2 linked regions of the Schizosaccharomyces pombe genome follow. The protein of the gene in region 1 binds, or shares a complex with, the protein of each later gene. Each region holds a gene or a part of one and is shown on either strand. Other genes may lie near its edges. The genes, in order: red1 and pla1. A codon is read from its position in the direction of its gene.

What was found.
Region 2: the proteins of red1 (region 1) and pla1 are in contact, whole or in part, in a crystal structure (PDB 7Q72), measured with the Schizosaccharomyces pombe proteins. Residues at the interface, in NP_594850.2 of Schizosaccharomyces pombe: Lys294 (codon at 458), Trp298 (codon at 446), Leu299 (codon at 443), Ser301 (codon at 437), Ser302 (codon at 434), Lys303 (codon at 431), Pro304 (codon at 428), Phe305 (codon at 425), Gly306 (codon at 422), Ser307 (codon at 419), Ser308 (codon at 416), Thr309 (codon at 413), Pro310 (codon at 410), Asn311 (codon at 407), Val312 (codon at 404), Val313 (codon at 401), Ile314 (codon at 398), Glu315 (codon at 395), Phe316 (codon at 392), Asp317 (codon at 389), Gly322 (codon at 374); in NP_595362.1 of Schizosaccharomyces pombe: Lys358 (codon at 3,290), His359 (codon at 3,293), Leu361 (codon at 3,299), Ala366 (codon at 3,314), Ala367 (codon at 3,317), Lys368 (codon at 3,320), Thr369 (codon at 3,323), Glu416 (codon at 3,464), Ala419 (codon at 3,473), Gln420 (codon at 3,476), Ala423 (codon at 3,485), Ser424 (codon at 3,488), Phe468 (codon at 3,620), Val470 (codon at 3,626), Leu481 (codon at 3,659), Lys483 (codon at 3,665), Ile489, Lys490, Arg491, Leu492, Asp493, Ile494, Ser495, Thr498, Tyr502, Lys506, Asp513, Thr514, Leu515, Met516.

What each region holds. Positions count from the first base shown.
Region 1 is NC_003424.3:5,072,058-5,075,980, forward strand, and holds the start of red1 (protein Red1), read right to left. Parts: upstream 1,842-3,923; 5' UTR 1,816-1,841; coding exon 1,671-1,815; exon of another isoform or gene 1,393-1,670; coding exon 1,332-1,392; intron 1,132-1,331; coding exon 1-1,131. Other genes in the region: protein mcp3, read right to left, coding at 3,079-3,923. UniProt on the Schizosaccharomyces pombe protein: Promotes the exosome-mediated degradation of mRNAs containing a DSR (determinant of selective removal) signal sequence from mitotic cells.
Region 2 is NC_003423.3:926,771-930,693, forward strand, and holds the start of pla1 (mRNA cleavage and polyadenylation specificity factor poly(A) polymerase Pla1), read left to right. Parts: upstream 1-2,114; 5' UTR 2,115-2,218; coding exon 2,219-3,674; intron 3,675-3,717; coding exon 3,718-3,835; intron 3,836-3,874; coding exon 3,875-3,923. Other genes in the region: gta1 (glutamyl-tRNA amidotransferase alpha subunit), read left to right, coding at 80-326, 373-1,198, 1,246-1,588. UniProt on the Schizosaccharomyces pombe protein: Polymerase that creates the 3'-poly(A) tail of mRNA's. May acquire specificity through interaction with a cleavage and polyadenylation factor (CF I).

The sequences.
Region 1 (3,923 bases):
GTATCAGAATTCGTAGTTGCAGCACTAGACGAGGCTCCTGACGAGCTAATAGAAGGTCCAGCCTCCACAAAATCGGCTTTGGAACTAAGATCAACGACTTTTTCAAAGGTATCCAAGTGTGTTTTAGATTTGTTGTCAACCGCAGCTACAGGGACAGATGGAAGTTTCATATCGGCGGCAGAAGTTGGCGATCTATACGGTTTTTTATTAGACTCAAGCCGTAAGATCAACTTTGTCATTCGCCGTATTTCCTCTTCTTTATTGCGAAGAAGCGCCAAGTAATCTGAACGAGACATAGTAAGACCATTTTCACTATTTGAGGGGGGCTTTTCTAAATTAGATTGTTCTATCTTCGAATTCGAAAAGTCATCTCCATCATCATCGGAATCAAATTCAATAACTACATTTGGAGTCGAGGAGCCAAAAGGCTTCGAAGAAGATAGCCAATCGTCCTGCTTCAAAAGTGGTAAAGATATAAGATTTTTTCTTTCAGGAAGGACGGTAGGTGTACCATTATCGCCAGGTAATATATGTGTGTCACTAAGATTACTGTCAATCTTACGAAGTTTAGCAGACCTAGCAGCTTTGTCTGCAGATAGTGTCAGACTTCCTTGGGAGCTAGCAGAAGAGGAATCCAGTCCGAGCTTTAAAAATAAAGTATGAACAACCGAAGGCTCGATGCCCTCAGCAATAAAATCGTTAAAGCGCACTCCTACTTCAAACAACTGACTCACAGCTTTCTCTGCTTCCTTTTGATTAGTAGTCTTGGAATAATTTGCATCAGAATTTTTAGATGTTGAAAGAAAAGGTGATTTTTCTGATTTTGCCTTTTCACTCTTTTGATAAGAAGTGTCGGATGATAAAGCCAATGGTCGGCTAGTAGCGGTATCTTTAAGAGCCCGGTTTTCTTTAAATGACTGGGAAGTATTAGAAGAATCCGATGTTTCAGAAGACTTCGCCTTATTTCGGTTGTTGAATGAATTCTCAGATGACCGTTTGCGCTTCGAAAAGGTTTTGTTTGAGGAGGCGGTTTGAGGAAAGAAAGGAACTGTATTTGGTCCAAACATCAAAGCTGGAGGAAGCATAAAAGGTGCGCCAAATGGAAAAAAATTCGCGTTAGTTCCAGGAAATCTAGTGTGTTAGTTAGATAAGACACCTGATGGGTTGAATGTATTCAAGTTCGAAAAAAAAAAAGGAAATTTTACAAATTGTCATTCTCGTAATCCCAAAGTTGGAGTTAAACCGTACAGAACAGCATAACTAGCGGAGAATAGCTCCGTAGAAAAGATAAATAAGCTGCACTGACAGGTTTAATCAAATGCCATGCTTACCTATCAAAAGGAGGCAACTGAGGAATTTGCTCAGGAAAGGTTGGTACTTTCATTGGCGGAACTAAACTGTTAAAAAAACGAATTCATTTAAACGGTGAGAAAATTGAAAAGATGGATATCAAAACATAATTTCCAAATACATATAAAAGGCTTCTGCCAGCTTTATTTTTCTCTCTTTAAAAAAAAAAAAGCCACGCATATAAATAGAGATATGAAATGTTCTAAACGAATGCAAGCAATCGTCGAGGAAAACTCAATAAAATGCGAACAAGCCTATAAAAACAAAAAGTCTCGTTTCACAATATATTTGTGTAAATTTCCATCTCTAATCTACCTTACCTGAATTTGATTGATCTATAACAGGATCGTCTTCGCTAATTTCGCCATCTTCTTTGTCAGAGTCATTACTCTCATCTTCTTCATTCTTCTTTTTTGATTCTAAAGCCTTTTTTCGCAACTCATCGAGATTTATTGACCGGGACATTTATTTACAGCTAAAACTGGGTTAGTAGTGCCAAATTTCAACAGCAGATGTTTTGTTTGTAGTACCAGTTAAGACAGTGAAACGCGAAAAACATTAAATATTATTGCACATAAAGTTTTTTCACCTCAGAGCATGTTATTCCCTAATAAAGATATTGATGGTTGAATACTTTCTTATTTGTTCTAATGAACTGTCTGAAATATGCACTAAGACTCTTTATTTACAAAACATTCGGAATTAGTCTATTGAACAGGTATACTGAATGTAGCAAATATATTTTCAAACAATTTTAAAAAGTAACACAAGAACAGCTAATATGTTCAGCCTTATTGGCTTGCTCATACGAAAAGTGTAGCGGTGATTCAAAGCTTTCGCATCCAATTATCTTTTGCTAGTTTACAGCACAAATTTACGCGAAGGTGAAATAACATTTTTGAGTTATCAAATTATAGCGGGAAATCTGCTTTTAATGGACTAGTCAGTAATTTAGTAGCGGCCGCCTTGTCTCATAAATAGAAACATAGAACATCTGGAGAAGTTCAAGAAAAATAGCGAAAATGAGAAAACTGTGTTTTAAACCTTTGTCCAATAATGATAATGTTTTCTACTAGCATATCCTTCTATGAGCACATGAGAAAAAGAAATATTCTTTCGCTCAGTTCGGTTTTAACGTTGGAACAGTCTTTGGCCTTTATTAAAAACTTGAAGTTCATAAACTAAAAACAACAAAAACATTGTGCTTTATGCAAATTTCGTGTGCAATAAAAGTTCGGGTATCCGTTTATGATGTTTTAGCACGAAAGCCGACTATTGACAGTAACACTGGTAATAGCTCTTTTTACTAAAAACCCTCATCGAAAAGGTAGTTCCGTATCTGATTACAAGGCCGATCGTGCAAAAATACTAAAGACCGAGGAATATGTAATCGTGCAGTTTTATAACATACTCTTCCGTTGCTTAAGTTATTAATCTGAATTTAGTCTGTTTAATCCGTTACATGAAAAATTTAGCCTTTCAGGAGCTTGAAGAAATGATTTAAGATCAAAACGCTTTCATGTAATCACCTAACAAAAATGCTAGATTTTGTTATTATTTATTATTGAAATTCCCCCATAAACCTCGAAATTTTAAGACCGGTCAAGTTATCATTTGAGGCTAACAGGCGGCCTTCAAGCATTTAAAACGAAAGACCGTATTCATAGATTATTTATTGGTAATCTCAATGAGGCTAGTACCTTTGATCTGTTACTACTTGCGAACATACTATTTGTCTCCAAATGTTTGCTGTAGTGTATGCTCGCGCTCCCTCAATCGTTCAGAAAGTTCAAAGCAATGCAATTTCAATTCAGAGTTTACTTTTTCCAATTTTCGAACTCGCTTTGTTTCTCTCATCAACTGCTCTTGAAAAACTGACCGCAGTGACTTTTCGGATTTTGCGTTCTTACCTGGCATAAACTCCTCACAAGGAATTTGTTTTTCTTCTAAGAAGATTTCCTTGTAAGCTTCAAGTTCTAAAATAACTTTTTCAAGATCTTCTTGCTTCATCTGAAGTTCATTTGCTAACATGCGTTTGGATTCGGCCAAATAAGTATACGCATTTTCCAATGAATCGTATACCATCCCCTCCTTGAAGTGCAGTTCAGGTACTACAGCATTATTCTGTAAGTCAATGTTCAATGACTCATCCTTTTGGACAACAATATTTCTCACGTCAACATTTTCTCCCAATAATTTTCTGTTTTTATCCATATCGCGCAGAGCTATGTCTGACATCTCTTTAAATACGGAAACTTTCTCACCAGATGGGGACTTAGTGATTGAGATTTTTGTGTTGTTGGAAATAGAAGATGAATCATTAAAGCTTTTGACTAATTTACTAACCCTTCCTGAGATAGAAGTATTATTTTCGCTTTCTTGCCCTAGTTGCTCAAAGTCTGAACAAGAAGGTGATCTGCAATCAGTATTTACACCGATAAGCTTATCTTCAAGTAACGACTGAAGAGTAATTTTATAATTCCTTAACTCGATTTCCTTCGTTTGGTATTCTTGATCCTTTTGTACAAACTTTTTTGTTATATAAGTCAGCTCATCAGAAAGTGTATGTTCAT
Region 2 (3,923 bases), on another chromosome or scaffold:
CACTACTTTATTCAACTATACAACAAGTTGGGTAATACATTATTTGCACGAAGTTAACGTCCAATGATTGATTGGTCGAATGAGTAATAAATATAACAATTTATTAAAAGAAGTTGCAGCTAAATATGCTAGTATCATTCTAAATGATGCGAAAATTAAGTCTTTAACTTCAATAAATAGTGCCGAATATCTATATGATTCATTTGTTGAAATTAGTAAATTACCACTGGAAAAGAAGCTTCCGTTAAAATGGAAACTGATTACAGTAAAGGAAAATATTTGCACGAAGACAAATTTAACCACGGCAGCCTCTAATATGTTGAAGGGTAGACAATAAGAATATATTTCAGTTACTAATTGCGGTTTAACTAGACTACAATTCTCCGTTTGATGCGTCAATTGTCGAAAGCTTGAAGAAAGCCGGCGGTATTATTCTTGGTAAAACAAATATGGATGAGTTTGCAATGGGAGTCAAGAGCGAAAACAATCTTTTTGGTCGCACTGTTAATCCTGTTGTTAAGGATAGTAATTACGATGTTGGGGGCAGCTCGGGAGGAGCTGCTGCTGCAATCGCGGCGGATATATGTTATGCATCAGTTGGTTCAGACACAGGAGGATCAATCCGTCTACCTGCTGCTTACGTAGGTTGTGTAGGTTTTAAACCATCTTTCGGCAGGATTTCGAGATATGGAATGCTTGCCTTTGCCAATAGTTTTGACACAGTGGGTATCGCTGCAAATAATGTTAAGGGCGTTACCAAAGTATTTAATGTTTTAGACCATCCCGACATAAATGACTCAACCTGTTTAACTAAAGAAGCTCGTTATTTTGTTAAAGAGCAGCACAAAAAATTATCGCGGAAGCCAATTAAAATAGGAATTCCAATTGACTGGAATGTTTCTGAGACTCATCCAAACGTTTTAGATAAGTGGAATGAATTCATATCTCTTCTGAAATCAAATGGTTATCTTGTCCAAGAAATACAGCTTCCAATTTCATTATACGCTAACAGTGTATATTCCACAATGGCTTATGCAGAAGCGACTTCAAATTTGGCTAAATATAATACTATCGCATTTGGCAATTGTTTAGATGAAAAGTTCGAAGAGGAAATAATTTCATCTACTGCACGCTCTTTTTTTTTAGGAGACGAAGTGAAAAAGAGGCTACTGCTAGGCGCTTATTCACTAGCAAGAATGTATGATATAACTGATTTACTAAGTAGTTACTAATATTTACAAATAGGAATTCCTCTGATTTGTTTTCTAAGGCTCGATACGTTCGCCGAGCCATACAGCTGGAATTCAACAAAAACTTTTTTCTACCTTCCTTTTCTGTCGATGATCCCAGGGGTGACATCGATTTCATAGTTACCCCTTCTTTTTTTAATTCCAGTCAACCCATTGAAACCCCGTCCTCTTATAGTCATCTTTCAGATACTATGTTAGTTCCAGCGAATATGGCTGGAATACCATCCGTTAGCATACCTTTCGGTACTTTGAACAATGGGCTTCCAATGGGAATTCAAATTATGGCCCAATATCTTAATGACGAAGATTTGTTGTCTTTTGCAGGCCAGTTTGCATAGATTTCGGCTGCTTATCTAAACTCTCGAAACATGGCTATGATAATCTTTATGAGCATAATAATTCTTTACTGTTTGGAATCAATTTCATACATTGAAACTTGTTTGCAAAGAGTTTTGGAGAACTTGTCATCAATAATTCGACAGTTTCCCTACAACTGCGGTAAATCCAATAAATAGATGTGGATTCTGAATCATTTACACTTCTCAGCAACATAAATTATTTTTACATTTCAAGTCGCTAGTTTATTCAACCAAAAAAAATGCATATCTGAAGGATGGAATTTAACGGGTAAGCTTTTAAATACAAAACCAGGAGCAATCGGTTTGTCAGATAATGAACATAGTGCACTGTCAAGATATATATGATAAACAGCAACAATTGTATAATTTACCAGATAAATTAAATTTGATTTAATCGAAATAAATGTCTCAGTGCAACTGTAAATGAATTTTTTGACATTATAATAAGATAACGCACTTTGTGAAATTGCGTATTTATGCCTTAAATCCTAAACGAATGCTAACCAGATCTACACATTTAGCATTAGTACGCTTTAAACCAGTTGTTTTTAAAGGTTAGGATAATTTAAAACAGCTACCTTTCAAGACTCCAATTTTTGTTTTCAAAGCATGACTACCAAGCAATGGGGTATTACACCGCCAATTAGTACTGCACCTGCTACTGAACAGGAAAATGCTTTGAATACGGCTTTAATTAATGAGTTGAAGAACCAAAACTTGTTTGAATCTCCTGCCGAATCTGAAAAAAGAGTAAAGGTTCTTGATGAGTTGCAACAAATAACGACAGAATTTGTAAAGAAAGTATCACTTGCCAAACATATGAACGAAAAGATGGCTAATGAGGCAGGGGGGAAAATTTTTACGTACGGAAGTTATAGACTGGGCGTTTATGGACCTGGATCAGACATAGATACCCTAGTCGTTGTACCCAAGCATGTTTCTCGCGACAATTTCTTTCAGGACTTGGAACCTATGCTTCGAGAAAGAGAAGAGGTAACTGACCTTGCTGCTGTACCTGACGCCTATGTTCCTATTATTAAGTTTAAATTTTTGGGAATAAGTATAGATTTAATTTTTGCTCGTCTTTCAGTTCCGCGTGTTCCCCGCGACCTCGAATTGTCTGATAATAACTTATTAAAGGGTGTTGAAGAAAGATGTGTGCTAAGTTTGAATGGTACACGTGTTACGGATCAGATTCTGCAGCTTGTCCCTAATCGTGCTGTTTTTAAGCATGCTTTAAGAGCCATAAAGTTTTGGGCTCAACGTCGTGCAATATACGCTAATGTCGTAGGATTTCCTGGAGGAGTCGCCTGGGCCATGATGGTAGCTCGAATTTGCCAACTATATCCGAATGCAGTATCTTCTGTGATTGTTGCTAAATTTTTTCGTATTCTTCATCAATGGAATTGGCCTCAACCAATATTGTTAAAGCCCATTGAAGATGGCCCCTTACAAGTACGTATCTGGAATCCAAAACTTTATCCATCCGACAAAGCTCACCGTATGCCAATTATAACCCCGGCTTATCCATCAATGTGTGCAACTCATAACATTACTTTATCCACCCAAACAATTATCCTTCGCGAAATGGTTCGGGCTGGAGAAATTGCTGACCAAATAATGGTCAAGGCTCTTCCCTGGTCAGCTTTGTTTCAAAAACACGACTTTTTTCATCGTTATAAGCATTATCTTACGATCACAGCAGCTGCTAAGACAGCTGAAGCTCAATTGAAGTGGGCAGGTTTGGTTGAATCTAAGCTTCGTCATTTGGTTACTAGACTGGAGCTTGTTGATGCTATTGCTTTGGCACATCCTTTCAATAAAGGATTTGATAAAGTGTATAATTGCTCCAGTGAAGAAGAAGCTCAACAAGTAGCTAGCGGCGTTACTCTTGAAGTCGCATATGAATCTACGGATCATGAAAAATTAGCCAACGATACAGTTAATGAAGAGAAAGCCGACAATACTGAGAGTAAAGCTGATGGTTCTGAAAATGGTGAAAAACAAATTTTTCCTGTTTACACTACAACATGTTATATAGGGCTTGAACTTGAAAAGAAGAAAGGCAAGATACTACATTTTGAAATTAATTATGCTAACTTTATTAGGTCATCCAATTAAAAGACTTGATATTTCTTGGCCTACCCAAGAATTTTACGAGTTGTGCAAAAAATGGGATAAATATGATGACACCTTAATGAACGTTTTCATTAAGAATACTAAAAAGTAAGTCATTTTATATATATACACTCTCACACATTTTAGTACTGCTTTACCTGATGAAGTTTTCGAACCTGGAGAAGAACGGCCGAAA